Linked DNA regions of Oryzias latipes. The protein of the gene in region 5 purifies or fractionates together with the protein of the main gene of each other region. This does not show direct contact. Links are inferred from orthologs where the notes say so. Each region holds a gene or a part of one and is shown on either strand. Other genes may lie near its edges.

The links.
Region 1: the proteins of exoc5 (region 5) and exoc3 purify together in Homo sapiens (affinity purification with mass spectrometry; 7 studies listed by BioGRID and IntAct, counting the BioPlex papers as one, with this or other methods). This does not show direct contact. The link is inferred for Oryzias latipes from reciprocal best matches to the Homo sapiens genes EXOC5 and EXOC3.
Region 2: the proteins of exoc5 (region 5) and exoc2 fractionate together in Homo sapiens (co-fractionation; 4 studies listed by BioGRID and IntAct, with this or other methods). This does not show direct contact. The link is inferred for Oryzias latipes from reciprocal best matches to the Homo sapiens genes EXOC5 and EXOC2.
Region 3: the proteins of exoc5 (region 5) and exoc7 fractionate together in Homo sapiens (co-fractionation; 4 studies listed by BioGRID and IntAct, with this or other methods). This does not show direct contact. The link is inferred for Oryzias latipes from reciprocal best matches to the Homo sapiens genes EXOC5 and EXOC7.
Region 4: the proteins of exoc5 (region 5) and exoc1 purify together in Homo sapiens (affinity purification with mass spectrometry; 4 studies listed by BioGRID and IntAct, counting the BioPlex papers as one, with this or other methods). This does not show direct contact. The link is inferred for Oryzias latipes from reciprocal best matches to the Homo sapiens genes EXOC5 and EXOC1.

Annotation. Positions count from the first base shown.
Region 1 is NC_019875.2:4,993,773-5,000,469, forward strand, and holds the start of exoc3 (exocyst complex component 3), read left to right. Parts: upstream 1-2,161; 5' UTR 2,162-2,293; intron 2,294-5,884; 5' UTR 5,885-5,951; coding exon 5,952-6,095; intron 6,096-6,697. UniProt on the Homo sapiens protein: Component of the exocyst complex involved in the docking of exocytic vesicles with fusion sites on the plasma membrane.
Region 2 is NC_019862.2:21,226,584-21,232,639, reverse strand, and holds part of exoc2 (exocyst complex component 2), read right to left. Parts: intron 5,723-6,056; coding exon 5,661-5,722; intron 5,584-5,660; coding exon 5,514-5,583; intron 3,058-5,513; coding exon 2,941-3,057; intron 661-2,940; coding exon 519-660; intron 1-518. UniProt on the Homo sapiens protein: Component of the exocyst complex involved in the docking of exocytic vesicles with fusion sites on the plasma membrane.
Region 3 is NC_019877.2:22,401,424-22,407,479, reverse strand, and holds part of exoc7 (exocyst complex component 7), read left to right. Parts: intron 1-210; coding exon 211-303; intron 304-2,428; coding exon 2,429-2,497; intron 2,498-2,675; coding exon 2,676-2,821; intron 2,822-3,415; coding exon 3,416-3,568; intron 3,569-3,645; coding exon 3,646-3,744; intron 3,745-3,823; coding exon 3,824-3,886; intron 3,887-3,959; coding exon 3,960-4,026; intron 4,027-6,056. UniProt on the Homo sapiens protein: Component of the exocyst complex involved in the docking of exocytic vesicles with fusion sites on the plasma membrane.
Region 4 is NC_019862.2:97,217-103,272, reverse strand, and holds part of exoc1 (exocyst complex component 1), read left to right. Parts: intron 1-940; coding exon 941-1,128; intron 1,129-1,201; coding exon 1,202-1,429; intron 1,430-1,515; coding exon 1,516-1,648; intron 1,649-1,733; coding exon 1,734-1,843; intron 1,844-6,056.
Region 5 is NC_019880.2:12,940,100-12,945,788, forward strand, and holds part of exoc5 (exocyst complex component 5), read right to left. Parts: intron 5,377-5,689; coding exon 5,229-5,376; intron 5,146-5,228; coding exon 4,951-5,145; intron 3,607-4,950; coding exon 3,542-3,606; intron 3,337-3,541; coding exon 3,308-3,336; intron 3,215-3,307; coding exon 3,105-3,214; intron 2,971-3,104; coding exon 2,926-2,970; intron 2,838-2,925; coding exon 2,697-2,837; intron 2,618-2,696; coding exon 2,535-2,617; intron 2,443-2,534; coding exon 2,233-2,442; intron 1,973-2,232; coding exon 1,825-1,972; intron 1,744-1,824; coding exon 1,635-1,743; intron 1,381-1,634; coding exon 1,260-1,380; intron 1,134-1,259; coding exon 1,047-1,133; intron 943-1,046; coding exon 834-942; intron 728-833; coding exon 512-727; intron 154-511; coding exon 1-153. UniProt on the Homo sapiens protein: Component of the exocyst complex involved in the docking of exocytic vesicles with fusion sites on the plasma membrane.

The DNA.
Region 1 (6,697 bases), on a different chromosome or scaffold from region 5:
TCTGATCAATTAAATGACAGTAATAGCTGTTTAGTTCTCTATTGAAGTCTATGGGGTTTTGGTTTCTTGGAGCCGGCAGGTACTTCCTGCTGACTCCAGTGGGAGGGGCTAGCGGGAGGAGCCACGCAGTCCAGTCATGTGACCATTGGCTGTAGATGGTCAAATTGACAGTGAAATGCAGTAGTGGTATTGGGCCTGGGCAATACGGGCAATTGCCCGGGGCGCAAATTTTAATGGGGGGCGGCATCCCCGTGCTTGGAAGAAAAGAAAAATTGAGCCAGTATCGGTTTTCTATATTTCACAGACTTTGGAACAGCCTAAACCGACTGTCCCAAACCAACTGAGACTCCTGTCTCAGAGATGGAAAAGAGCAGGGGGTGGGCGCAGGCTGCGAGGAGGGCAGCTTCGACAATGCAACACCTGGATCATCACGTGCCGTTGGATCACTTAGTTCACATTAATAATGTTATTATTTACTAACAATTGTATTTATTTTTATTAGGTGTATTTTCTGTGGTTTAGTTGGTTTCAGTATTTGACATGAAGACAGCAGGTAATGCAGTAAAACAGCTGCACTTTTTGAGATAATAAATAAACAATCAATCATTTGTTTATTAATGTTTTAAGGTTTTTTGGAGGATTTTTACTGTTGGTGTTGCACAAAATTAGGAAAATGGCAAATATTTTGGGAGTAATCAGTGATGAGTTCTATCATTTAGTTTTTAATGTTTTATAATGTTTTATTATATTCACAATAACAGTTTTTAAAAAAAAAAAAAAACACTAATCCCTCTAATCTGTTTCACAAAGACACAACACAGGACATCACACACCAAGAAATTAGCTGATTGATAAAAATGAAGGCCCGTACACACCGGGACGAATATTCGCCAGGCGTTATTCGCCAGCGTTTTTCGCCACGTTTTTTGTGTTCACACCCAGGCGATTTTCGATGACGATGAGTGGAGTGAACATGCAATTTCATTCCCTGACATTAGATGGCGCTTAATGTAAACAGAAATACTCCTGTACACAAGGTGGCGCTGCGCAGCTTTACGCTTCTTAAAGTCGCTTTTCACTCAGAAGAAGAGAGCAAGTATTTACACGCTTGTCAGAATCAAACAAAGAAAACATGAATATTTCAAGCACCAGTAGCTCCAACTGGTGCTTGGTTCGGGGATGTTTTAGAATGTCCGTCATTATTTCTTCGCGGCAGTGTAGACGCTACTTGGCGTCTATCTTCTTCGCTGGTATGTGTGCTCAGCAAGGCAGTTTTGTGTTTGAGCGCCCCCAAGTTGTGTTTTACTCTAACTTCAGACACGTGAGCAAAAGCGCCATTCTCATTGGTCGAGTAGATTTCGACGCGACGCGTCGAAAAAAAAAAACGAACCCGAGGCGTTTTTTTTTTGACGCTTTAACGCGTGGCATTTTTTCACATCGGTGTGCACACTCTCGTTGGTGCCCTTTGTTTAGTCACGAGGGGTTAAACGTCGGCGAAAATCGCCGGCGAAATTCGTCCCGGTGTGAACAGGCCTTGATGCCAGGAGTCCAGCGCTAAAAAAAACGACAAAAGAGCAGAGAAAACGGCATGATTTGATTTATCATTAAAGTTTCCAGACTTTGTTTGTTTTGTTCTGCGGCATGTTCATAACTGTATAATTTTGACAGAATATATTTTTTTGGAGGGCAAAATATTATACGTCATTTTAGGTTTAACTTGATTTATTCTGTATTAATATTCCTGTCTGTTTTATTCATATTTATGTTCAAAAAGTTAAGTTTAAAAAGTTTAAAAGTTTAGCTTTAGTGTGTTCAGTAAATGTTTATCTTGTTTGACCCAAAACCTAAAGCGTGTTTTTAATTTAGGCCCCCTGTGTGACTGAGTTTGATACCCCTTTAATACTAATTATAAAATTCAGGCATTTTGTGTAAAATGTTAAATAAAGGTAGATAAAGATAGAGACAGAAGGATATCGTGAAATTTGTGTATGCGGGGGAGGGGGGGTTACTCGCCCGGGGAGTAAGTCAGTGTAGAACCGCCACTGGTAAAATGGTCACATGAAATCCTTCCAGAGTATGTGCATTAATGCTGAATGTCCAGCAGGTGGCGGTGCTGACGCAGTTACCCCGCGAAATACGGCAAAGAAGAGACGAAGAAGAAAAAGTAGGCGGTTCTCGGAGGCAAATACGGAAGTGACGTCACACAATAGCAAGGACGTTTAAACGGACTTTATTTGTTTTATTTTTCCTAGATTTGCACCCAGAGTTCCAGTTGATTCCGTGACTGTATGAGGTAAGACGGCGCGGGGCGTGTGTGTGGGCCTGTTGGCGGGAGCCAGGCGGTGGGGGCCGCTGTCGGCCCCGGTTAGCTTAGCTGCAACCCCGGAGCCGCGAACACAGCAGCACTCAGCTGCTGAAGAGACATCTAAGCAAACAGAAGTTCCCACCACGAATGTTGAAATTCACCTGAGTCAGGGAATTGGCAACAATTTTGGCAGGTAGAAAAGCAGCACACCAGCTCCTAGCAAACACGAGCCCCCTTCTTGTCTGTGGTTATTTGTGATGTTGTTTTTGTTGACCTAAGGTCAGGGTCCGGGGGGGTATTCCAGAAAGCAGGTTGGTTATGTGAGTTACCACGGTAAGTTTGAGGCTAAGGAAGTTGATAACCTCAGCTTTCGGTTCCAGAAATGGAGGTATGTTTCAGGATATGAAGTTGCCATAGCAACTCATGCTCTGAACATAACCTGGTCTGGAGCAGGTTTACCTGAAGGTTAGTTTGTTTTTAGAGAGGTGAAGCAGCATGGCGTGTCCATTTGAAGATGATTTAGTGGATGAAGAAGCTCAGTAATACTTTTTCCACCATGAGAGGGTGATGAGACCACGTATGGATGTTGGAAAAATAAACTTTTTTACATTGTTGATCTAACTTAATTATTTAATTAATATATATACTTTTTTTGTTAAGTCAGCTTAAAAATAACATGTAGATTTCAGACAGTTATTTTTACTTTCATTCAAATTAATTCAATTAATTAGGTGTAACTTTGGTGCTGCTGTTAGATCGGCACCGCAAGGGATTGTGGGATATCATTCCCTTTGCCTGTCTGGACGGATTTGGGTTTAAGTGTGGCTTTTTGACCCAATGTGTTTAGTTGTTTAGCTTTTTTACTGTGTTTTACCGAGTTATTTTGTCCTACTAAGCTTATGTCTCTCCACCATGAGTGAGAGCAACGGAGAAGATGATGAGTTTACATAGCACCCCTACCAGTTATTACTGTAACGTCTACGACGGAAATTTTTTTAATCAATTTATGCACGCCGTGCATTTTTTCCCCGTCCTTTTTATTGTTATAATAATGAGTAAACCTGCTCCGGACCAGGTTATGTTCAGAGGTCTCTGGAGCAGGTTTAGTTGAAGGTTAGTTTGTTTACAGAGAGGTGAAGCAGAATGGCGTGTCCATTTAATAATAACAATAATAATAATAATAATAATAAATTTTATTTGTTAGGCGCCTTTCAAGAACACCCAAGGTCGCTGTACATAAAAGTGAAAATAAAATAACAGCAATCGAATGCACAATAAAATATACATATAAATAGGCCAGAAATAGGAAGTTATGGGGGGGGGGGGGGGATAGGCGAGTTGGAAAAGATGAGTTTTCAGTGTTTTAGCGAATTGTGAGAGAGACCCAATGTTTCTGAGGTCCGGAGATAGAGAGTTCCAGAGCCGGGGGGCAGAGCAGCTGAATGCTGACATGGAGGGCCACATTTGGCCCGGGGGCCTTCAGTTTGAACACATGTGCACTAGACAGGGTTCCAGAGCAGCTGAATGCTCTGCCCCCCATAGTGACAAGGCGAGCAGTGGGGACATCCAGATGAAGGGAGGAGGAGGATCTGAGGGTACGGGTGAGAATGGCCACATGAACAAGATCTGATAGATATGATGGAGCAAGTTTGGCAGGTAGAAAAGCAGCACACCAGCTCCTAGCAAACACGAGCCCCCTTCTTCTTGTCTGTGGTTATTTGTGTTGATGTTTTTGTTGACCTAAGGTCAGAGTCCGGGGGGGTATTCCATTCCCACCCGTACCCTCAGATCCTCCTCCTCCCTTCATCTGGATGTCCCCACTGCTCGCCTTGTCACCATGGGGGGCAGAGCATTCAGCTGCTCTGGAACCCTGTCTAGTGCACATGTGTTCAAACTGAAGGCCCCCGGGCCAAATGTGGCCCTCCATGTCATTTTATGTGGCCTGCGAGAGCATAAAAGTTTTTATTTTCTTAAAATAAAAATTGGTGTGTATTTATTCATATCTAGGGGGAATTGGACTTGAAATATGGGATTGGGCAACTAAACATTAGGACTTAAACACTGTCAATATAACCTAACCTGACAGGAAAAAATTTAAAAGGATTTATGCTAGAGTAACACGCAAACATGTGTTTTCTATGCAGCTGTAACTGTCACTTTAAAAGTTACAATAAATAAATAAATTAGTGATTTGACATTAAGGAGAAGTTACGTTTATTTTTCATTACATTTAGTTGCATGTATAAGTTATATCTGGCCCTTTGAGGACAGACACTATGCTGATGTTGCCCTCGGTGAAAATGAGTTTGACACCCCTGGTCTAGTGGGTCTAGATGACCCAACTCCCAATGTTAAAGTGCCTAGGATAGCACAAGGGTTACGTAGGTGTAACTTTGGTGCTGCTGTTAGATCAGCACCACAAGGAATTGTGGGATATCATTCCCTTTGCCTGTCTGTACAGATTTGGGTTTAAGTGTGGTTTTTTGACCAAATGTGTTTAGTTGTTTAGCTGTTTTACTGTGTATTGTCTAGTTATTTGTACTGTTATATTTAATTCTTTCTGCACCATGAGTGAGAGGGAGGGAGAGGATGATGAGTTTATTTAGCACCACTACTGCCAGGTGATGTAATGTTAAAGTCAGAGACATGGTATATGATTTCTATGTTTCATGTTGCAAATCGATTTTGTTTTATTTATTTTCTTGTTATAGAATAGCTATATCTGCAGGCTTAAAATTACACATATGAAAGTTCAAGAAGTACAATAAATTAAGATGAAAAAAACATTTAATTGAATAAATAATATGTAAATTTGAGTTGTAAATAAAATATTGAGTTGGATACACGTAAGAAATTAGGTTAAATAAATTTAACTCATTTACCGGTACTTGTTACCAATAGAAGTAATTCATTTAAGTTGGCAAAGTTGGATATGTTTTTTATATATATATATATATATATATATATATATATATATATATATATATATATATATATACATACAGTATATACATATATACATACAGTATATACATATATACAGTATATATATGCGTCACAATGAAAATAGAAATGAGCTAGAAAATTGTGCGTTTACTTTGTCTGTTATTTTTCTCCAAGCAGAAACTCTTTCTTTTGCTGATGATGCAGCCATGTTACTTTTTTGATGGACTTATAATCTTCATTCGCCATCATTAAAATCTCAGACTCCGTCTCACTGAAGTATAGCGCTCTCTTTTGTTCTCCACATGATCCATTGAGAATGTCTTTATGTACCTTCCGTGCACGTGCTTTAACCCAGGGTTACCAAGTCGAGCGTAATTACGCCAACTCATATCCGGTCCTTTGGAACTGACATACCCAGAGTAAGCAAGTTCAGGCGGAATTCAGCCAGAGTTCAAGCTTAAAGTCAGGGTAGTTTGAACATGCTTCCTGGAATACCCCCCGGCTCAGAGACCCAGCTGCTCTGACTGTCCTCAAAACTCAACTCCAAGATCTGCAGCAACTTGCAGATTATTATTTAGCAGCATCAATAACTGTACAAACTTCACTTAAACAATTCTGTGTTTTTCTCTGCAGGTTTAGACTGTGCAGTGTTATTGAATAGTTGCATGAAGCTCTGGACTCGACTCCACGCAGCAGCAAAATGGAGGAGACCAGTCGGGAGGCGGTTGCCACTGCAGTGCAGCGCGTGGCGGGGATGCTGCAAAGGTCGGACCAGCTGGACAAAGTAGAGCAGTACAGAAGAAGAGAGGCACGCAAGAAGGCTTCTGTGGAAGCCAGACTGAAGGTAAGGGAGGGCAGCCCTCTCTGGATTTTCGCATGGTTACAGGAGAGCGGATCTGCTCCGTCAGTCCACCGGAAACTTGGTTCAGAAGAGGCACACTGATCCAGCTGATAGACCAGGGGTCGGCGACCTTTACCACTCAAAGAATCATTTGGACCAGTTTCCCACAGAAACTGCTCCATCACTGACGTCACGGCTGCAGTAAATGATTATTTTGTCAGCCCAGCTAATGGTTGGTAAATCTGTGCTTTTCTTAACTCGCCCTGCAAATGGTGAATGGTGTTCTTTAAACAAATAAAACTCAATTTTTCCTAGAAAGCTTAGCTCTCCACTTCAACCTTTTTTTCGTCTTTGACAACATTTTGGTCATTAGGGTGTCACTACTGATCCCTCTTATTGCAATGCAACAGCAGTAAGTGTTTACACGAACCAAACTACATCTTACTCTGACGTTGAGCTGTTAGGTTTCGTTTTTGGCACATGTAGGGATATGCTGGTTCACCTTTGCTTCCCCTAGTGGCCAATTGCGCATTTGGGTTTTTCTTTAAAAAATCATAACTTGCCACAGGGATGAACTAGAAACGTGCTTTTTTTTTAAAAACATC
Region 2 (6,056 bases), on a different chromosome or scaffold from region 5:
AAGCTCAAACATGAACTTTCAGAGGAAGCAACAAACCTGTGTGGGGCTCACACTTTTTTTTGTTGTCAAGACAAGGTAAAAAAAAAAAAAAAAAAGGCTAAACCGTAGCCCTTTCTGACAGATTCACTAGCTCTGTTTTGTTGCTTCACATCCTGCGTTAGGTTCAACCGCACACTCATATTAAAGTTTCACCTTTGTTTGTAAAGCTTGAGGGAGAAATGTCAATGTAAAGTAAAAAATTACTTCACACCCACACCTCCACAGAAAAGGCCGTGAGAGCTTGAGGAAGAAGAGCGAGAGCATGAACTCAGCAGTGTTTACAGTAAGGCTTCAAAGAGCTGTACTTCATACATGACACACTCTAACCACAACTGAGCTGAAGAGACCAAAGTCACCAGGTTTTGACTAAACAAGTCTGCTGGTGGCTGATCTCTCATGCTCCTTGGGTCAATGAGTGGTGATGGTGGGGGTTTCCCTCATGGTCTCAAACGCGGCTCCTGGCATTCATCAGGTGATACCTGACGGCGTCTGGCAGTCCCTCCAGTCAAAGTATCCAGCGTAGATTCCAGGCTCTAGGGAGCCGGCGATGGGGTCGGCACGCCGCTCGATGTAAGCTTCAAAGAGTTTCCGGTCCAGCTCTCGGATGGCGTCCATGCTCACCTGGAGGACGAGGAGGGAAAGAGAAAGATGGCTGCTGTCATCTATTTCTTTGGACATGACCTTGTAAGTGGAAAGTAAAAAAGAAATTAAAAAGAATAAAAAGTGGATTAAGCTGCTTACATCGCCATCTGCAACACGTTCAAGAGATCACTTCCATTGAAAAGTCTTTGTAAACGCACATATATGTGCGTTAGGGCATCTGTGTTCAACACTTTAGCATTCATGTGTCGCTACGCACAATTTTAGGACTGTTTTTAGGCTCCATGTACAAAACATGCTGTCATCAAAAGCATGTTGAAAGTTAAACAAGTTTGATCTTTGACCAATCAGAGACTCTGATTTGGTAGTGACGCATGGATGGCATCCCTTTAATTGACGGAAGTGCCCAACGTTTGAAAATTGATCGTGGAAGAGAAATTAACAGCTGCACGTTGGGCTCAGCCGTTATTCTATGACAGCAAGTCTTTCATATCTCAGAATAGAACTGTGAGAATTGTAGCAAGATTCATAAGGTTTGCAGGGCTTTGACATTTCGAACCAAGCCTCTTCCAACTTTAGGCACATGCGCTAGTATGGGTAGTGACAGTCCAGTGTGAACAAATGTACAAACAAACAAATGTGTGCTAAATGTCCGTTTAACATTGGATCCATTCCTGCACTTTTAGAGCAGCAGAATGCAGTACTTATGCTTTCATTCCAGAGAGATTCTGTTTGAACGGATCTAATGTTTACTATCCTTTGACATGCTTGGCTGAGGAGCAAAGTGACATCCAGACCTGGGTCTTAAACACATCCATAAGCATAACCTAAAGCAGAAAAATTGAAATGTGTTATTATGAATCTTTTTTCCTCTTTGTGTTGTTCTGCAGTGTGGAGAAACACAAAGATTTTCAAAAAGAAAAGAAAAAAGGTTTAATACTATGATCGACTATTTTTTTCTTTGCCATCAGCTTAATTCTTGGCTGGAAGAGAGATGGAATTAAATATTATGAAAGAGTTGGCTTACGCCATTGACTATAAAGGAGAACTGGACTGACTTTGTTCTGGCTCCAACCAAATGAAGTCAATTCAGTCGCCATTTTTTCGCAATGTAGATGTTGCCATGTTGGAGCCAGAAATCGTAAGTAAGCAGTGATTGGTCCAAATCAGTTTGAGTCATCGTTTCTATGGCGACCACTCTTGCCAACCAGGAGTAAGCTTGTTGAAAGGTCACACCCCTATCTTTTGAAAGTGGTCTTGGTAGAATCTGTCAATCAAACTTTTCAAACAATTGACTTAAAACGCATACCTTCATTGAGGCATCTGATTGTTCAGTGAATATACTTGAATAACTTGAAATAAAGAATAATAATAATGGTAAATAAAGAGGATTAGCAAAAAATGTAGCAGAGTAAGAACGGTTATTCCTACAAATGGAATGATTGAGCAATAGCCGTTTATTTCTCTGAAAAAGTCTAGCTTCTTGGAACCAGCAGGTACTTCCTGTTTGGAATGCAAGGGGGGAGGAGTCACTCAGTCCAGTTCTCAAATATAGTCAATGGTTTGAACTGAGGCTTAATTGAAATAGACCCCCCCCCCCCCCAATTTTTATTTATAAATAATAGGTCTAAACCCTCCTAAATTAATTTTTCAGGCATCAAGATGGATTTTTTTAAAATCTTGTATATCCTTCAATCTGACATTGGAGTAACACTGCAAAGAAACCAGACTGAGACAAAGAGTAAAAGAACCAACTTAGCACACTACATAAGTTAGCACAATCTGAACTGGTCACATGGTGTGTTTGTGAGCAGCTGCTAGCATTATTTATGCTGCTCTGACACCAGCTCCTATTAATAATGCTGTAAAGGCAGCATGTGCAGCAGTGGTACAACCCTTCAATACTTTCTTCTTTTTCTTGTTTACCGTTAAATGTGTTTAATGTGGAGCAGCACAGCTCAGCAGTCTAGACAAATTATCATAGGCATCATGCTTTCGGGTCTAATTCAAACTTTTAACTTAATCTTTCAAATAAAGTGAGTTTTTACAGGAAAATCAACAGATCAAACCCTTCTTAGCTTTGTGATTCAGCCATTAGTCATTGTGTGCAGCAGTGTGACTATGTTGAGAACAGAGGTGAAAAGTGTGACTTTTTCTTTTCATTAGTCATCCCTTTGCTGAGAAACGAAAAAAAACACACAGATCAGTTTAGTTGTTGTAGTTTGTTTTCTTCTCATGACGCCTCCACACTTCTCCTCAATAGGAGTGTAACAGCTGCAGGTCACAGCAGCAGGTACTGACCCGCGTGATCTTCTCTGTTCCCGTGAAGCCGTGCTTTTCAAAGTGATCCGCCAAGTTCAGGAAGGTGCGTCTCTCCAGGTACTGGCAGTTGCTCAGAATGATCAGCAAACGCTGCTCCTGTTCATAAAAGAAAGGAAAAGTTAGATTGTAATTTAAGCCCAAGACCTTGTTCCAGCACAAACTCGTTTTGTTAAATAATCACATGTTTTTGAAGACCTAGTTTGCAGAAAATGGTGTTTTGGTATTTTAACATGTGTCTGTGGCATTTTTCTAAAGATGGAGGACATGTATATAAAGAAATTAATTGCATTTCTCAGTATTTCTTTATTCAAATCGTTGCGAATCAGGAACAGAAAAAAAAATGAAGTTTGAAAATTAGCTTTTTTAGCTGTAGAAAATACGCCAAACGCTCCCTGCTTAAAGCTCTCAGCCACCGGGAGGGAAGGGGTTTGGTTCACGCCAACGGTCCCACCCACAACTCAGAGGAGAGTTTCTAATGAACGACTGCTGCTCTACAGAAACTATGTCCTAGAAACTAACACAGGTTTTTAGACTTTGCCTAAAAATGGCATAAAATAATTAAAAGACCTCTGAGATGAGGGGGGGGGGATGAAAATAAGTGATAAAGTCTATTTCAATCCCTCCTTTTTCAGGGGTAAGGATGGGGTAAGCAGGGGTGGACCATTGACTGTATTAGAGAATATAAAATAACATCCCTATGCGTGTATTTGAACCACACCTAAAATAGATGTACAGTGATGGACAAAATTGTTGGTACCCCTCAGTTAAAGAAAGAAAGTCCACGATGCTCACTGAAATGACTTGAAATGTTCAAAAGTAACAATAAATTAAAATTTATTGAAAATTTGATAATCAAAATCAGCCATTACTTTTGAGTTGTTGATTAACAGAATTCTTTTTTTGTTTAAACTAATGAAATAGGGCTGGACAAAAATGATGGCACCCGTAACTTAATATTTTGTTGCACAACCTTTTGAGTCAATCACTGCAATTAAACAGTTTTTGTATTTGTCAATGAGCCTTCTGCTCCTGTCCACAGGTATTTTGGCCCACTCCTCATGAGCAAACTGCTCCAGTTGTCCCAGGTTTGACGGGTGTCTTCTCCAAATGGAATGTTTCAGCTCCTTCCACAGATGTTCAATGGGATTCAGATCTGGGCTCATAGAAGGCCACTTCAGAATAGTCCAACGCTTTTCTCTTAGCTTTTCTTGGGGGTTTTTGGCTGTGTGTTTTGGATAGTTGTCCTGTTGGAAGACCCATGACCTGCGACTGAGACCAAGCTTTCTGACACTAGGCAGCACATTTCTATCCAGAATGCCTTGATAATCTTAAGATTTCATTTTACCTTGCACAACTTCAAGACACCCTGTGCCAGATGCAGCAAAGCAGCCCCAAAACAGAACTGAGCCTCCTCCATGTTTCACAGTAGGGACAGTGTTCTTTTCGTTGTATGCTTCATTTTTGAGTCTACCAACATAGAGCTGATGTGCCTTACCAAAAAGCTCCAGTTTGGTCTCATCTGTCCAAAGGACATTTTCCCAGAAGCTTTGTGGCTTGTCAACATGCATTTTTTCAAATTCCAGTCTGGCTTTTTTATGATTTCCTTTCAACAGTGGTGTCCTCCTTGGTCACCTCCCATGAAGTCCACTCTGGATTTATTGTTACTTTTGAATGTTTCAAGTCATTTCAATGAGCATTGTGGACTTTCTTTCTTTAACTGAGGGGTACCAACAATCTTGTCCACCACTGTATGTTTACATCCTGCTCACATTTGTGGAGAGCTTCACAGCAGTTTTGGCTCTTCAGAGGAGCGGAAGCAGAGACCAATGCATTTGCAGCTTCAAGGCCTGTTTTGTGTTTTTTCAGATCAACACAATTTCAGATTCGGGTTGCATAACAGTACAATATCATCACATAGTTTCAAATCTTCCCTATTGTCTTGTATACTTGTATACTTTCAACCACAACATAAAAAAATGATAATTGACAAAATAACACAAAAGCTCATTTTAATGAAGGACAAACCCACAGACACTCATACAGGGCTGACGCTTTATTTTGAAAAATTCTCTACTTTACTAGAAAGACCTTGTTTATCCTCTGCTGAGGCGAACACGAAAACAGAAAAGAGAGATTACGTGTTTAGCACCTCCCTATCGAGCAACGCTCCGACCCCTCAGTTCACACCGGTCTTCAGCGCTGTGTAGTCGAGCTCGGCTGCCTGACTCCCGCTGCACACATTCAGGCTGGGGAAGCCCCGTCTGCACCTTGCTCCATTTCCCTTTACCAGAAGCACTTCATACCCTGCTCTTCCTCCACCCCGTCCTCCACCCCACCGCTTAACCCCCTTCACCAACCTCTCAAAACGAGTTACAGGAAATGAGGACGTAGCTGCTGCGTGTCCACAACCAGGAAACAGACAGATAAAGGTTTGTGGTTCTGACGAGTGTGCCGCCCGCGTTCGTCAACATGTGTCAAAGGCTGTTCTGGCCCCTGTCAGTTGTGGACCCCAAACTGCTGAGTGGAAGTCAGAGAAACGGCATTTTGCTTACTGAAGTTGGACTGAAGTCCTCGTGGGCGGCTGCGAAGCGGTCTGGAGAGGACAGATCTACAGAAATGTTGCTGCAGACAAACCAACAACTTTAAAATCATTCCCTAAAGCACAATCATCTCAAAGATCATTTTAAAAAGATACTCACTGAGAGACTTGGATGTCTCCATCCGTTTTCATGCTCAGCTGCTCCAGACAGTTTATAAAAGCCTAAGTTCAACACATTTGTCAGGCGTGTTGAGAGAAACACACACCGTAACACAGTTTTTACAGCAACAGTCAATAGATTTAATAGTAGCTGAAGATCTCATGTGTCTGTCAGTTGGCTTAAAGACCCACTCCGATGGAAAATGGGGTTTCTGGTCATTTTAACAGGTTCTCATTTTTCTCAAGATGGAGGACAAATAATATGAAAATTAAGCTTAAAATTACATTTCTGAGTATTTCTTTATTCAAGTCATTGTGAAGCAGGAGGCGTTAGAAATAGACTTGTTTGTGATGTTGAAAATACACTGGGGGGGGCTACAAGTTTCCTGCTTTGCTC
Region 3 (6,056 bases), on a different chromosome or scaffold from region 5:
TGGTGCTATAGGTGGTGCTCCCTCTCCCCCACCCCAAAAACAAACCCTGCTGGTTGCCCCATTGGTGGAGGGATGTGGTGTCTGCCTTTCATCACACTCGTTTCCCGCTTCTTTTTCTTCTTCCTCTTTCTTCTGGTGTTTCTTGGTTGTCTGGACCTTGCTGGCCCCACTCCTCTCCTCTGGACTCTTTCTCTGTGTTTGTGGGACCAGGGACCATTCGCAAGGCTCAGAACCTTCTGAAACAGTACTCACAGCATGGGCTGGATGGGAAAAAGGGGGGTTCTAACCTCACTCCTTTGGAAGGTAAAGCACCTTGGTCTTCTCTGTCTCTTTTTTCCAGCTGGTTTCAGTCAAACACAAAGTCCCAACAGCCGGCCAAAGCAGCTTCTAGACTGTACCGCTTCAGATCATTGGACACATGATGGACAGCACTCACGATGAACGGAACCATTCTGCAAGTTATCCCTCTGAAAAAGCTGACTTTGGTCTGCAATGTTCATTATAGAAACATTTTGACACAATGTGAATACAGAATCCAGAAAGCACAATGTTTGAGTTTCTTTGTATAATAGAGCAGAAAATAAATGTTCAGTCACTGAGAAAAGTTCATCTCAGTACTTTGTAATGTGGTTCCAATGACAGAGGTCAAAGGTTTGGAACCGATAGACTTTTTGTAACTGTCAGTAGCAGTTCCATTGTGGGTGGTTCATCAGGGAAATAGTAAAAAAAAGTTGAAAAAAACATTATATAGTAAGAAACAGCACAAGGCTGGCTCCTGTTCCCCACAAGGTTTCCTGAAGATTTTCAGACGATCTGAACTGTAGTTGCTAATTTGGTCCATTCTTCCATGCAGATCTTCTCTAGAGCTGTGCTGTTTTTGGGGCTGTTGCTGGGCAACCACTCCCTCCACAGATTCTCCATGGATTGAGGTCCAGGGACCGTTGGAACACTCTAGAACCCTGAAATCCTTTAGACACTCTTTACTTTGCTGGGTGATCTTTGGGGGATTCTTTTAGTAATGCTGGAAGATCCAGACATGTTCCATCCCTGATGTTCTCCCTATTGGAAGGAGGTTTTTGTCCAAAATCTCCCCATACGTGACCCAATTCCCCTTTTGCTTCATACGGATCAGGCCGGTCGTTGACCGGCTCCCCCTGTAGTTCTGGACTGTGTACAAACTTGTCCCTGGTGTCCTCAGACAGCTCCTTGGTGGAGAGGTCTGCCTGTATAAGGGTGTGGACAGGTGTCTTTTCTACAGGTAACCAGTTCAAACAGGTGACATGAACACAGGTAACCAGTGGAGGATAGAAGAGCTTCTTAAAGAAGGAGGAACGGGTCTGTGAGGAACTGAATCCTTGCTGGCTTCTAGATGAATCCTTATTTTCTGCTCCATTATACAATCATTATTTAAAGATCAGACATTGTGATTTCCTGCATTCTTTCTTTACATTTTGTCTCTCACATTAAAGTGTTTCTATGATGAACATCTCAGACCAAACTCAGCTTTTTAGAGGGACGACCTGAGGAATCTGTGGCTGACAAATATGTTTTTGCTTCACTGCTTTAAAGCAAACATTTGTCTTCAGGCGTTTTTAACACAAACCTCACTTGAAGTCAATTGGCTCTGCTAAAAAAATTTCTTTTAATAAAGTTCAAACGGATTTTTTATTTTAGTTGACCCGGCTTTGAATATTAGGTTGTCTAAAAATGCAAAATAAATGCATTTACACCAACAATGTTAAGTTCAATTATTCCAATGTAATTCAGTCTCCACTCCGTCCTTTGCCCCCACAAAGACATGTTTTTAGAAAACCTACAGATTAACCAGCAATCCCATCAGTAATGAAATTAAAAGGTTTGATATGATGAAGATAAAGTCAAAAGTGGCACAAGCACCCAAATCTGACCTCTTACTTCTTTAAAATGTCTTTTTTGATTGATTCATTTATGCATCAATTCAATTCAAGTTTATTTGTAGAGCCCAAATTCAAACAACAGTCGTCTCAATGGGCTTCGCACCGGTAGACCATGAACACATGAGACCTTTCTCCCATTAATAGCTTTCAATCAAGTCGGGTCGGGAAGTTATCAGGAAAGAAGAATTCATTTTCTGCTTAAACTCCCATCCAACTGATAAACTGGTGTCAGACGTGGGGTTTTCCCATTTTCCCATCAGGAAATCTGTCAAAAGCTGCAATGAATCCAAAGCTGTTGTGACATTTGAAGCTGGTTTTTGTCCCACAGTTTAACATGTAGACTGGTTCAGAACCAGTTTACATTTCACTCATCTTGGGTGGGCACGCCCTGCCTTTTCTCTCTGGTGCTTGGTGGTGGGCGGTTCAGGTCAGGTTTGTCCCCTCTCCCCCCTCTTAGCCTAGTCTTGACCTCGTTTTGACTAGTCTCCCTGCTGGCCCGCCCCACCCACCAGGTTACGATCATGACCCACGGGTCAAACACATCACTGAGGCCCTGACTGAGAAGCATGGGGCTGCCCCAGGTGAGTGACGAATTCCAGAAGTTCAGAGGTTGATCAGAGAGGCAACCTCAGCTCAGTTTCTTCCTTTAACAATCAAGTTCTTATAAAGTAAGAAGTTAAACTCCGGGCTGAAGTTGTTGTTTAGATCCTTGTCTTATGTTTTGTCAGCTGACGGGAGCTCTTGTTATGCAACTCTTAGGGAAAGACGATGTTCTTGACATCGAGATCGACTCCTACATCCACTGCATCAGTGCCTTTGTGAAGCTGGCTCAGAGCGAGTACGCCCTGCTGACCGAGATCATCCCTGAACACCACCAGAAGAAGACCTTTGACTCCCTCATCCAGGTCAGAGGAGTCAAACCAGGGAGCTTTCATTGAGGATTTCCCAGACAATTTGGTTTTAGGGGTTAGACGTAGTGACACAAAAGTATTCAACAATCCTTTTATCTGTAATCACCGGGCAGAAGTACAGCATCAGATATGCAGGAAGGGCTCTTGAGGATTTAATCAGGTGCTGCTGTTGAAAGTAAAGCTTCTGTAGAACATCCACCTGAGGTTCCAGGTGTTGGTCATTTGCTAAAGGTTTCCCTACCATCTACAGTAATGAAACTCCACAGTCAAGAAAAAATAAACCAAAGCAACAATCAAATTTGAAACCTCATTCTCCTCTGATTGCTGACATCAACCATCCAGTTTTTTTCCTTTTTTAGGTCATTCTCTGTTTGTTGGTTGAGTGTCCAGTAGATGAGCAGTTGACGCTAAAAACTCTTTAGTCACTCTTACTGTTTTTCTTCACCGTATCTGACCATTGATACCATAGATTACCATAGACACGGACACCTTTTATCTGGCTGAAAGGATTTTAATGATTAAAAGCAGGACATTTTTCCCTAAGCCACATTCTGGTTGCATGCTCAGTTTCATCATGTCTGTCCACAGGAAGCATTGGACAACCTGATGCTGGAAGGAGACAACATTGTGTCTGCAGCTCGCAGGGCCATCATGCGCCACGACTACTCGGCGGTGCTCACCATCTTCCCCATCCTCAGACATCTGAAGATGAACAAGTCAGACTTTGACTCCACACTTCAGGTTGGGTCTGCGGCGTCTCATTTCTGGAAGAAGCTGGTCTTGGGGTGTTTAGCGACTGTACTTGATTTGACGTGCAGGGAACGGCGGCGAGCACCAAGAACAAACTGCCAACGCTCATCACGTCCATGGAGACGATTGGAGCCAAAGCACTGGAAGAGTTTGCAGACAGCATTAAGGCATGCGGCTCCCACTTAAACCACCCCTTGTCTATTGGCTGCTGGTCATTTACATGGGTTTTCTCTCCACTAACTACAGAATGATCCTGATAAAGAGTACAACATGCCCAAAGATGGAACAGTGCATGAGCTCACCAGCAACGTAAGCTTGGTTTCTGCTCTGCACTGCCTCTCCGGTTATTTGCCGCTTGTTTGAGCTCTCTGTCTCCGTTCAGGCCATTCTGTTCCTGCAGCAGCTGCTGGACTTCCACGAGACTGCAGGAGCCATGCTGGCATCTCAAGGTTTGCTCCTTTGTGTAGCTCTGCAGACGTCCACCCACCACCTGTCTGTCTGAAAACATCATGGCAGATACACAAACACGAGCACCCAAAGGGAATTCAAATTTCAAGTCAGTGCCAGGCATCCATTTCTTCCTTTCCAGCCTGCTCATGTCAAGAATTTGATAGATTTTAGCTACAGTGGGGGACAGGAGAGAGAAATATTGAACAGGAAGACAGTTCCTGCCAAATGACAGAGGAGAATGGCGAGAATCTGCCTGGAATTTTGCAAACCAATAGAAACAAACCTGGAGACACAGAGATAAGTGCAGAATCTCATATTAGCTGGAGAACGAACCATCTCAGTTTCTCCTTTTACCGTAAGGTTCAGCTTTTTTGTGTTGAGTAGCCACTGCTTTTTAAGCCAATAAGACAGTAAAATGAATGGTGCGCGCCGATCGACGAGCATATATTGAGGAGCTTGCTGAGGAGGCAGAAAGAGCTACAACCCGAGGAGAACAAGGCCAGCTGTACAGAATTAGTCGACAAGTATGTGGAAAACACCACTCTACTGTCAGCTTACCAATTAAAGATAAACAGGGGAAGCTTCTCACAACAGAAGCAGAACAAGATACCCGCTGGGCTGAACATTTTCAGGAAGTTTTGAACAGAGATCCACCAACAGAAGGAGCAGATATTCCAGAAGGAAAGACAGACCTAGACATCAACACAGACCCACCAACAAAGGAGGAAATTGTCTCAGTTATCAAGTCACTGAAAAGCAATAAAGCACCAGGTCACGACAATTTGAATGCTGAACTGTTCAAGACGGACACAGAAACAGCATCAAAAATATTGCAACCTTTTTTCAAAACCGTTTGGATATCAGCAAGCATACCAGAAGAATGGACTAAAGGTGTAATCATCAAAATTCCAAAGAAGGGCACACTCAGCGAATGTAACAACTGGCGTGGTATCACCCTTCTGTCCATCCCCAGCAAGATTATGGCCAAGATAATCATCAATAGGTTATCGGAAGCTGTGAATGCAATACTTAGGAAGGAACAAGCCGGTTTTAGAAAAGGGAGAAGATGCACGGAACAGATTTTTGCTCTGAGAAACATAATAGAACAAAGTGCTGAATGGCAGCAGCAGCTCTTCGTTAACTTTATAGACTTTGAAAAAGCATTTGACAGTGTGCACAGAGACAGCTTGTGGCGAATCTTGAGGGCTTATGGAGTACCGACCCACATGATAAAACTGATAAGAAGCTTCTATAACAACTATAGATGCTGTGTGGGAGGAAGTGACATCTGGTTTGAAGTGAAAACTGGAGTCCGTCAAGGATGTGTGATGTCAGCTCTCCTCTTCAACGTAGTGATAGACTGGGTGATGAGGCGCACGACTGAAGCAGGACCAACTGGCATCAGATGGACACTCTTCTCCACCCTCGAGGATCTCGACTTTGCTGACGATCTGGCACTGATCTCTCATATTCACCGACATATGCAAGACAAGACTGACCGGCTAAGCCGATTTGGATCCCAGGTTGGTCTTAAAATCAACCAAAGCAAGTCAGCGATTTTGACCTTGAATACTACGTCACAGCCCCCCATCAAGGTCAATGATCAGAATTTACCATTTACTGAAAGCTTTACTTACTTGGGTAGCATCATCACATCAGAAGGTGGAAGTAATAAGGACATACAGAACAGGATTAATAAAGCCAGGGTTGCATTCATAAGCATGAACAATATTTGGAAGACATCACAGTACAGCACTAAGACAAAACTGAAGCTCTACAGCAGCTGTGTTCTGTCAGTATTACTGTATGGAGCAGAGTGCTGGAGAATGACACAGCAGGACTTGACCAAACTTTCGACCTTCCACACCAAAAATTTAAGGAGGATATTAAGAATTTTCTGGCCCCAAAAGATCTCCAATGAAGATCTATTCCTCCGCAGCAATCAAGAAGACATGTCATCAATTATCCTCAAAAGACGCTGGACATGGATAGGACATGTACTCAGGAGTGAAAACCACACAATAATAAA
Region 4 (6,056 bases), on a different chromosome or scaffold from region 5:
TACGAGATGTCTGTAGGGAAAAAAAAAAGGGAAAACCTTTACGGGGCATGCAGGTGGCTCAATGAAAATTCAAAATCGTAGACCGCTCAGTGGCCCGTTTACAGAAAATGTTTGTAAACCTTTTTTTTCTATGGACGTGCTGTGGGCGACAGGTTGTAGGGAACACTTATGCAACACGTTTTTTAACCCACCTGAATCTTTTCCACTGAGCCTGTTAGAAATGATAAGTGCGTGCTCCTTGCATGCGACCTGACTGTTAGAAATGAGGAAATTAAATGGTTAGAGCGTTATTTGTGTGGGTGTCCTATGGGCAGTTGCATATCAGCTGCACTCCTAATGTGTGCTGCAATGGTGTGCGTTTGGTAAGGCGCCAGTACTCGCTCCTTACTAATGACTGGAGTGTGGCATTTAGTACACTGTACGACTGTATCACCAGTGCGTCATAAATGCATGTACCTCGCATTCTCCTTACAAATACTTCACAATACACTTACTTCACACAAGACAATGATATGAGCCTCAAGAGAACTGCCAAACGAACCTGCACTCTCTTTAAGATGCAGCCGCTTCTCTTTATGACTTTCATGGGCCTGGATAACCCAAAAAGCCGCAGCACCTCTACTGATCAACCCCCATATGGGAGCATGTGACTAAGGCTCTAGTTCAGTTTCTTTTACCTTAGAAGTTACTGATTCTTTTTTCTAGTTTTATTTCATAAGTAGACATTTTTATTCTGTTGTCTTCATCTCACTACCGTAGGTTGTTTCCATTTTGTGATTATTTTAGTCATTGTAAACATGTACTTCTTCAAAACTATTTCAAGGTAGTGCACATTCAGGTATCCCAGAACTGACGAGACTTAAGTTTGTCCTGAAATCTCTGATTATGTTTATAAGCCTTCGTCTTGTGTTTTTGTTTGTTTTTCTGTTTGTTTATTCAGAGTCTGTGCCAAGTGGCGAGAGTCAAAGTGTCGCAGGGGGCGATGAGGATGCTTTGGATGACTACCAGGAGCTCAGCACCCGAGAGGAGCAGGACATTGAGAGCATGATGGAGATGTGCGAGTATGCCATCTCTAACGCTGAGGCTTTTGCAGAAAAGCTCTTCAAGGAACTGCAGGTCTTAGATGGGGTGAGTAATACAACCAACTATTTCAGAGCCATATTTATCATCTTTGTCAATATTCATCTTCTGTCTCTTTTAGGCCAACATTCAGTCCATCATGGCGTCAGAGAAGCAGGTGAATATCCTGATGCAGCTGCTAGATGAGGCACTTGGAGAGGTGGACACCATAGAGGGGAAACTGAGTAGCTATGAGGAAATGCTTCAGAGCGTCAAGGAGCAGATGGACCAGATCTCTCAGAGCAACCGCCTAATTCAAATCAGCAACACTAACAACGGCAAACTTCTGGATGAGATCCAGTTCTTAGTGGTAACAAATTCTTTGAATCAGTCCAGAGGTGTCAGAGAATTGAGCTTGAGTTTCTCAGATGGGCTTTGACTCACTTTTTCATGCAGAATTACATGGACTTGTCTAAGGGACACATCAGAGCTCTGCAGGATGGGGACCTCACCTCCTCTAAAGGAATTGAGGCCTGCATCAACGCCTCTGAAGCCCTTCTGCAGTGCATGAATGTTGCCCTCCGACCAGGTAAATTTACATGAAGCCTTGTTATCGTGATCGTCTGTTTTTTGTCTTCGTTTGAATGGAAAGTTGTGCACCTTTCTCTGTTCAGGCCATGAAAAGCTGTTGTCTGTGAAACAACAGCAGCAGATGTTTACCGATCTGAGGGACACATTTGCCCGCCGCCTCACCAATCACCTCAACAACGTGTTTGTCCACCAGGTAACACACTCGCCATTATTAGAACTTCTTTACCAGTACTTCTGCTGAGGTTTACAAAAAAAGGAAGAATACAGTCAGAGACATCTAAAAGCTGCTATGAGATGTGGATTTAATGTTGTATTTCCATGTAAAAAAAATTCAAGTACGAACTTTTCTTTTTAAAATAATCATGGAGGAAATACTTTTTTGATACCTTGCTGATTTTGAAGGTTTGCTTACTTAAAAATAGACAGCCTGTCATCCTAATGATAGGTTCATTTGAACAGTGAGAAATTGAAAATGTCTTTAATGAATTAATATGCATTTATTTGCATTTCACTGAGGGAAATAAGTACGGTATTTGATGCCCAAGTAACCATTAAGAGTTCTGTTTCGCACAGACCAATTAGATTCGCTTAATCAACCTGTTACCTGAATTGAAGACGCCTGTCCACAGAATCAGTCCATTAGTCAGACTCCAAACTCTCCAACATGGGAAACACTAAAGAGCTTTCAGTGGATTAAAGGGCGACGATTGTACTCTTGCACAAGACCAGAATGATTTGCAGAACCATCAGCAAGAAGCTGGGGGTTAAGGTGACAACTGCAATTGGTATAAAATACATGAACATGACCATCAATCCACCTACAGTCAGGACCATAAATATGTTGACATAGATGTGAAAAACTAAAGCATTTTCTAAACACAATCCCTTCATTTCATGGGCTGGTAAGTAATTGGACAAATTAAATAACTGAACAACAAAATGGTCATTACTCACTTCCCATGAGTCTTGGGGGCTTAAGGTGGGGCTATCCCTCAGGTCGCCACACTGTGTTGTAGATTGAGGATGTACAGTGAGGTCAATAAGTATTTGATCACCCTGTGATTTAGCAAGTTCTCCCTCTTAGAAAACATGGAGGGGTCTAAAATTTTCATCATAGGTGCATTTCCACAGTGAGAGACAGAATCTGAAGAAACATTCAGAAATCACGTTGTATGATTTTTTTTTAAACGATTTATTTGTATATTACTGTGAAAAATAAGTATTTGATCACTTGATTATCAGATAGATTTCTGATCAGCAAAGACCTGCTGTTCTGCTTTTAAATAGTCCAACTCCACTCTGCTCATGATTCTAAATTAGTGGCACCTGTTTGAGGTGGTTAGCTTGCATAAAGGCACCTGTGCCCCCCCCCACAATCAGTCAGAAGTCTAACTATCAACATGGGCAAAACCAAAGAGCTGTCATAAGACGCAAGAGATAAAATTGTAGACCTTCATAAAGCTGGAAGTGGCTACGGGGCAATTGCCAAGCAGCTTGGTGAGAAAAGAACAACTGTTGGAGCAATTGTCAGAAAATGGAAGAGGCTAATGATGACTGTCAATGTCCCTCGGACTGGGGCCCCTTGCAAGATCTCACCTTGTGGGGTATCGATGATGCTAAGGAAGGGGAAGAATCAGCCCAGGACTACACAGGAGGAGCTGGTCAATGACCTGAAGAGAGGTGGGACCACCGTTTCCAAGGCTACTATAAGTAATACATTAAAACGTCATGGTTTAAAATCATGTATCGCATGGAAGGTTCCCCTGCTGAAGTCAGCCCATGTCAAGCCCCGTCTGAAGTTTGCCAATGACCATCTTGATGATCCAGAGGAGTCATGGGAGAAAGTCTTGTGGTCAGTAAGAAGCCTTGTAAGAAGCATATCAAAATAGAACTTTTTGGTCTTAACTCCATTCGGCGTGTTTGGAGGAGAAAGGAGGAGCATCATCCCAAGAACACTATACCTACAGTGAAGCACGGGGGTGGAAGTATCATCTGCACAGGGGACAGGACGACTGCACTGTGTGAAGGAGAGGATGAACTGGGCTCTGTATTGTGAGATATTGAGAAAAAAGCTCCTTACCTCAGTCAGAGCGTTGTAGATGGGTCATGGCTGGGTCTTTCAGAATGACAATGACCCGAAGCACACAGCCAAGAAAACCAAGGAGTGGCTCCGTAAGAAGCATATTAAGGTTCTGGAGTGGCTTAGCCAGTCTCCAGACCTAAATCCAATAGAGAACCTTTGGAGGGAGCTGAAACTCCGTGTTGCTCTGCGACAGCCCCGAACCCTGACAGATCTAGAGAAGATCTGTGTGGAGGAGTGGGCCAAAATCCCTGCTGCAGTGTGTAGAAACCTAGTGAAGAACTACAGGAACCGTTTGACCTCTGTAATTGTTAACAAAGGCTTCTGTACCAAATATTAAAGTTGTTTAACCCAAGTGATCAAATACTTATTTGTCACAGTAATGTACAAATAAATTGTTTAAAAAAATTGTACAACATGATTTCTGAATGTTTTTTCAGATTCTGTCTCTCACTGTGGAAATGCACCTATGATAAAAATTTTAGACCCCTCCATGTTTTCTGGGAGAACGTGGGAGAACTTTCTAAATCACAGGGTAATCAAATACTTATTGACCTCACTGTATATGTGCTGAAACCGCGTGCATGTTTAAAAAAGAGGAGGGAGCTGCAACGGAAGGAGGGGAGAACGGGAGAGCAGCTCCTATCTCCTTCCGCGGCAGCAATATGGTAGTAAAGGGGCTGGTTAATAAAACATACCAGTAAAAGAGAGCAGTAGTGACTTTAAAGCGCCCCTATCAGCGCGGCATGCGCTAGAAGTTTCCTTCCACAACAGTGTCACACCGTTGCTCCGCGGACGCCTCTGCGCTCCGCCCTTGCCCCGCGGGCTCCTTGTCTTTCCCTTCCTATCTTCTCCGACACCCCTCGCGAGGGGGGCACCAGGGAAGAGCACTTCGTGCCCCCTGACGTCCAGTCCCTGCACGCGGGGCGCGGCTGCTGGTGGACGGAGCGAACCGTGTCTCTGAGCAGCGCAGCCGGACTTAATTTTTTGTGTTCGAGGGGCGGGGAGGATGCTTTGTTACGGGAGGGAGGCTACAGACTGCCATCTGTCCCGCAGCACTATGTGAACGAGCAGCCGAATTCAGGAGAACCACGTCTCCATCTCACACAGCGGCTTTTTGGCAGTGTGTGAGCTCTTCAAAGCAAAATGCCGCTCAGTCCTTAGAAACCGTTCAAACACGTGGATTTGTGTTTCTAGTCGTGTCCTGACAAAAGAAAGGCTTATGTTATTCCCACATATTTACGTTCAGCCAAGCTGCAGATTGTGGCATTTCCTGCATCAATTTTATGTTCATCCAGGCTAAATGTTGTTGTTAGCGCATGTTAGCCTTCACCTAACCATTCTTCCGGTTTCGTTCTGCCGCAAAAAAGCACTGACCACACGGATAAAAAATAAAATGATGAGCTAACAGGCGCTTCATAATAACCATAACAATAATATAAGCATGCGGTGGGGGGGTTCATATTACACCTGAGCCGGGGGTGTTCGTGTCCCTGGGGGGTGGGTCCTGGTCCTTGCCCCTGGGCGCTGGGCCCCGCCAAACTTCCAACATGGCCGAGCCTGGTCGGGCCATATTTATAACATCCCTTGTGGGCCGCCCTTTTTTCCCCGGGGTTCCCCCCTCCTGGGCGGGGGCGGCGGGCCCCTGCCTTGCTCCTACCTGGACCAACCGTGGGCCGGGTGGGTGGCTGCCTGGAGTGCGGAGCGGGTCTCCCTTGGGGGGTCCTGGCTCGTACCTGGGGTCGGGGCGGGGGGATGCCCGGAACTCCTGGGTGGTGGTGGGGTGCTCGTCTGGGGCTGTGGGCGTCCCTCTCCGGTGGGGCCCTGCGTTGGGCTCTTCCGGCGCGGCGGGGGGCTGCTTTCCTGGCTGGGCTGGGGCGGCGCTCTCTTTCCCTCTGCGCCTCCCTGCTCTCTGGCTCTGGGGGCCTCGCGGCGGTCCTGCTGGCCCTGGCCTGGGTGGCGGTCTTGGTCGCCCGGGGGGCGGTTGTTCCCTGCCTGTTCCCGTGTGGCATTGGGGGAATTCCGGCTGCCGCTGCTGCTGCGGCGGGGGTCTGGGTGTGGGGGTGGCTGGGCGCTCCTCCTCCTTCTTTTCACATTCCACCATCCATTTTAGAAGAACATAAACACTCACCTGAGCACAGGTGTTAGCTCACCTTTGCACTAATAGTTTGCATGATTGAATGAATGAAAGATTTCACACTAGTTGGTTTAAAGGCATAGGTATGCGTTCGTGAACACTATCTGTTTTGTGTGCATGTTGACATGTGGACATTTTTGCGGCTAGCAGGTGTGTTGATAATATTTGAGTGTGTGTGAACAGGCCCCG
Region 5 (5,689 bases):
GTCCACTCGGAGCTGGACAAAAGCATGCAGGAGGTTCCGGTCCAGATTGGTGAGATGCTCACCTGAGCAAACTTGCTTCAGGTTGTCAGGAGCAACCACCAGGAGATTACAGAGGGCGTGGAGTGTGTCAAAGAGCTGAAGCACCAGAGGGACCTTGTGAACAGAAAGAAATAAAACGGCTTATCACTTCAGAAAGAGGCAGGGGAACAATGCTCTTATGACAAGAAACCTTGATAGGTAATTCATCCATTTATTATTAAGTATGATGTTCTCAATATGAATTATGGTTTCAACAAAAATTCATTGCTTCATTTAAAAAAGAAATTAACAATCAAAATGAAAACAATCAGGCATTCAGATCAATCTTACTTTTTTTTAATCAAGGAAGCAGCTGTGAAATCATCATACCAAAATGATGGTGAAAGTAATAATTAGGTATAATTATTAGTATAACAGAAAGAGTTTATGCAGTCAGTCACAAAAGACACATTGACCTTTTGTCACAGATTACCCTGAAATTCTTGGCGCATCTGCGGTATTCAGCCACGTCACAGATGGCCAGCATGCCGCCCATTGAGCTGTAGCTGAACTGCTGTAGATGCTCGTGAATGAGTCGATGAAACCGAACCCCCAACTCCGTCAGCACCGTGTCCACGTTTTTCCCATCCATGGACTTGCGCACGTGCTCCACCTGCCGACTGACGTATGCGCAGACCTTTGAGCAGGCCTGTCAGGGAAACGAGAAGAACTAGTTGGGAAAAAGTCTGGAAGTGATTTTTATGAATTGCATCCAATGCGTTGTTTGTTCTGCGTGCGAGCTAAGCATCTCTTACTGTGGTGTACTGGATCATGACATTGTTTTCATCCTCGGGCCGGAAATCTGTTTTTTTCTGCTCTGTTGCCAGGATGTGCTTCATTTGCCCCACCATACAGTTTAGTGTTCTGTGCATAACAAAAACATATATTATTGGTTTCTGTTAAAAAACAAAATAAAAAACAAAAAAGTTGATCAATGGCTTAAAAAATAAATAAATAAAAAGAATCACCTGTCAATTCCAGTGTCCAGTTTTACTTCCATCTGTTCGATCACTTCTTTCTTCTTCTGCAAGCACTCTGCCAGCTTTGGAGATGAACTGAAGACAGGTTTAGAAAATTTAATTCAAAGAACCCCCCCAAAAATAAATAAATAAATAAATAAGGTAATTTGAAATCTGAGTATGCATAACAAACAAAGATGATAATTCTTAACCACAACTGACCTTATAAGAGGCATCAGCTGGTCATTAAACTGCTTGTCAAACAAGTGGAAGATGGAGTTTGCCTGTTGAACAACATCCAGGAAGTACAGGTTGGCATTCTTGGCATCGGATGAGGGAATCGCTGAAAATTTAGGAAAAATGCAGCAAACGCAAACTTAAGCTATATTGATCATTAAATGTTAATGCTTATCGGCTAGTGAAAAAGAGATTCTAGCTCTAAAATGTTTCTAGCTCTTCATTATTGTGGGAGATCCTCAGGTTATGCTTTATTTAATGTCCCAACTTCCTGAATCTACTGCTTTGAAGCTCCTAATAGTGAGAAGAATGAGCCCTCAGAAAGCAGTTTAAGAGTACAATTTGGTTCATCAGAAGTACCTGAAAGGCCAATCTCCAGAGCGTAGTCGATGTGGTCCACACACAGATGTTCAACCAGCAGTAGGAAGATGGAGTAGGCATTTTTAGGCAGATCAGATGGATCTGAAAGCTGTAATAAAACAAAACAAAAAATCACCAAAGTCTGCGTTTATACATGTTCCTTCACGTTACAGAAGGAGAAGAGGCTCACCCTGTGACACCTCTCAAACGCGTGCCGAGTCTCCTGCAGCAGATTAACAACCAGCTCGGGGGACAGGAAGGTCTCTCCATGGGTGTCAAGGCTGGGGCCCAGTGGAAGGTTGGTGCGCTGTCTGATGCGCTCCTTGAGCTCCTGAATACTAAAGTAAAAACAAAAAAACGTTTAGCATTTTGATCTTTTTGTATGAAACCCTAACGTTTATTTGAGACCAAAAATGGCTCTTTAAATGATACCACATTTTCCTTGTTCTTGTTTTTTTTTTAAATTATATTATTAATTATATTATTCTTAGTCTTTTCTCCTGTCAGTTGTTATGGTAACGAACAAATTTCCCACGTATGGGATCAATAAAGTATTTCTGATTCTGAAATGCTTCATGACGTTTATGCTAAATCGTACCTGCCAGAGCCTATTGCACGTTTCTGGTGATTCTTTGAGTCATAGTATCGTTGCAGAATCATGGCACCTCGATTACGAAGGTATTCCCTTTCCATGTCAATGTAACTTTCCAAATAAGAGGAAAAGATGCTTTTTATCAGCTTGGAAAGGAACGTATGCTTGTCTGAACCAAGGTTGAACTCTGTTAGCTTGGTAGCCAATGCTGTGGTCCTGAAAGGTCAGAAAAGAAACAGATAAGAACAAAAAGTGTTAGAGTTATAGAGCATACAGGAAGTAAATTAGAAAAAGACAAGCAAAACCACCTGGTGTAAAGGTCATAGAGGTTTTTGAGGTACTGTTCTGCATCAGACTGTCGAGTTCCATCCAGTTTCTCTCTAACGTGCGCCTGTAAAATAAACAGCCAGCCAAAAATCAACAAATGTTTAAGTAATGGCACATCCAAACTCAATCACTGGAAAACATACCTGTAGTTTGTTTTCAAAGATATTCTGGATGAGTTTAGCCATGACTGTCTCTGGACTGCTGAAGACCTCGGCCACCTGCTTGTTGACCCTCTGGCAAAGCGCTGCGGTGTCTTCAAACACATCGTTCCTCGTGTAGGCACCCTGAGACAGGAACAACAACAAAAAATGGGTCAATTAAAGCAGCCAAGTCAAAGGCAGACTTTTTTCTTGCCAAACTTGAAGTACTCACTTCCTGACACTGCTTGATGTAGACGTCCACGCAGTGTGCATAACCCTATTTAGACAAACACAGGCGTTACCACCTTGATAGTCCAAGAAAATGACTATAACATTCAAAGTTGATGTTTTCAGACAGGCTATGACTCCAACACTCAGTCAACGTGTCTTCAGATGTCTTTTCCAGGTCACCTTGAAATGTAATAGAACTGCTGCAACCTCCCGCATACGACCAATCTCACCCCTGCGCTGGGCTGCAGTAAACTCCTGGATTAACTGCCTCTCCAGGTCGTGGTATTTGCCTGGGCAGGAATGAAAACAGAACCTTAAAATGTCGCAAACGCGTGTTACATCGTAGTAAAAATGGAGGACGATCGACCCGGTCAGAAACTTACTTGCAATTTTTGCTTTGACATCTGCAAATCTGTTACAGATAAAGTGCGCAATTAGAAACAATAGATATAAAAAAAACAGAAGGAAAGTTTCTTTGGGGGCATCTTAGTCAATAATACCATCTAATGCTTAATGTTTCTGTGGGGCTTACACTTTTCAGGAATAGACTAATACACCTCCTCCTTCTTGTTTGACAGCGCTCTTGTCTAAAGCTGCCTCCAGGATGCCTGACTCACCTGTCAAATGGCAGCTCCTGGGCAATGAGATGCAGCTTCTGAATTATATCAGCAGCTTCCTTAATCTGAAAGAGAGGGAACAAGTGTGTGTTTGAGAGGGAGCGAGGGAGATGCCAGCTGAGGGAGGAGGAGAGAGGGAGCACAACAAAGCCATTAGAGGTGGACATCCATTATCAAGTGGGCGGCCGCCGGCAGTGTCTCCACTTGGGGGATCATCATCTTAGAGCAGCCTTCCTCCACCTTCCTGTGTTTAACAGGGAGCTGATAACAGACAGGCTGCGCTCACCTGGGCATCAGCAGCAGCAACAGCAGCAGTCCTGACTTAGCAGCACATCCAAGTCTTTATTGGGATGGCTTTTTCCTGAATGGGCTGTAATCCCACAGGAGTCTGAATTGCCTTCAATAATCTGTCCGGCCAGGGATATCTGTCTAAAAAAAAGGGGGCCCTGCCGAGATACCCCTCCACCCCGCCCTCTCCACCTCTCCTGACATACATGCTGGCGAAAAAACCTCCAGACCCGCAAAAGGTCCGCTGTCCGCAACTCCTCTGTTCCTGCAGATGCCTGTCTCAGCTAACATCATTACTCTGCTCCCGTGAGGAGGATCCAGCCTTTCTGCTCGGCGAAGGTTTTCTAAGTATCTGTCCCCCAGCTAAGATTAGCTAAATCCCATGTAAGTAATGTAGCCGTCTCCCTGCAGTCAGGGTTTAGCAGCACTTGTCTCCACGCTGGCGGCCCAGCCCTCCCTTTCAGAAGGATTAGCAAAGCCATTCCCCTTCAGCTATTCACTTGCAGTTTTTCTCTTTCCTCCTCATATGGAGGTATGCTCAGGAAAAAGGAATCTGGCTTGATACATCTGCATGCATGGCTCAATCTCAAGCTCTCGTCTGTGGGATTGACCCTCAAACCTCCCTCTCTGCATCTGGTTGAGATGTTGCATCAAACACACATAAAACCCAAAAAAAACCCCAATGTGTCTACTTTGCAGAATCAAACTCTCTGGGGTCACTTGTTCTGAGAAAACATTGAATCATTTTTTCCATGACTAAAAAAATGTGTTGCAACAAACTTTCTGTGTGTTGCAAAGCTGACCAATCAAATTCTTGATCCCAGTCATCCCACTTTACATGCAATTAGGTTTGACATGAGCGTGTTGACATCCATGCTAGTCAGTCAGCCGGCTATTGTCAGACAGCAAATGACAGTTTATTAATCCAAATTAACTGAGGGATCCAACTAAAGGGATAAACTTTATAAATTTCCATGGATGGTTCAACTCATAATCCTGTTCAAACTCACCTACAGCAGTTTCCCAGCAGGGCCCCTCATCAGTGGTTTCACACCCACACATACCTCTTCATATATGACAGCAAAAAAAAAAAAAAAAAAGAAACTAGACGATAATCTCACCTTGTCTGGGTCATTGAAAACATCGCTACGCAGATCTCCATCCAAAAACTCGTTAAAGTAAGTCATGAGACGCTGAGCTTCCACGGCCCTCTGGCGAGGAGTATTCACCCCCTCCAGCTGGTCACCTAGGTGACAAACCTTGGTGGCAACGTAGCTTATGTGTTCATCGAGTTCTTGGAAATGCTGAAAGGCCACCTGACATGACACAAAACGAAGATCTAGCGGTTAACCAAAGAGAATAAAGTTTGTACGATGTTGTTTTCTTTCAGCAAACAGACCTGGTTACTCCTCTGGAGGTCTTGCACTTTGCGGGCAAAGTCCTTGGCCTCTCCATGACACTGATCCTCTAGCTTTTCCACCTTTCGCTGAATCTTCTCATCTAACTGCTTTAATTCTTCAATGTGGCTTTTAAATTCATCCAACAGCCTAAAGGAAGGAAGAGTAGGAAGAAAAATTAAAAATACTATAATTGGGTAAAAAAAAACACATCACAATTAAATAACAAAAACAAACAAAAAAACTGAAAAACATGCACGAATCCCCCTAATTCAAGAAGTAATTGGGTATCAGAAGGTAATACTTGGTGTATAGTTACAGTTTAGGGGTACAAAATAGTGTCAAATACTTAATTCATGGGTCCCTAGACTTAAGAAGCTCTAAAAAAAACTCTCAGCTTCGTCAGCTGCATTTTAAGTGCCATTAGGATTGCGGTGCAAATGTTCTAAGTCAGCACCACTTT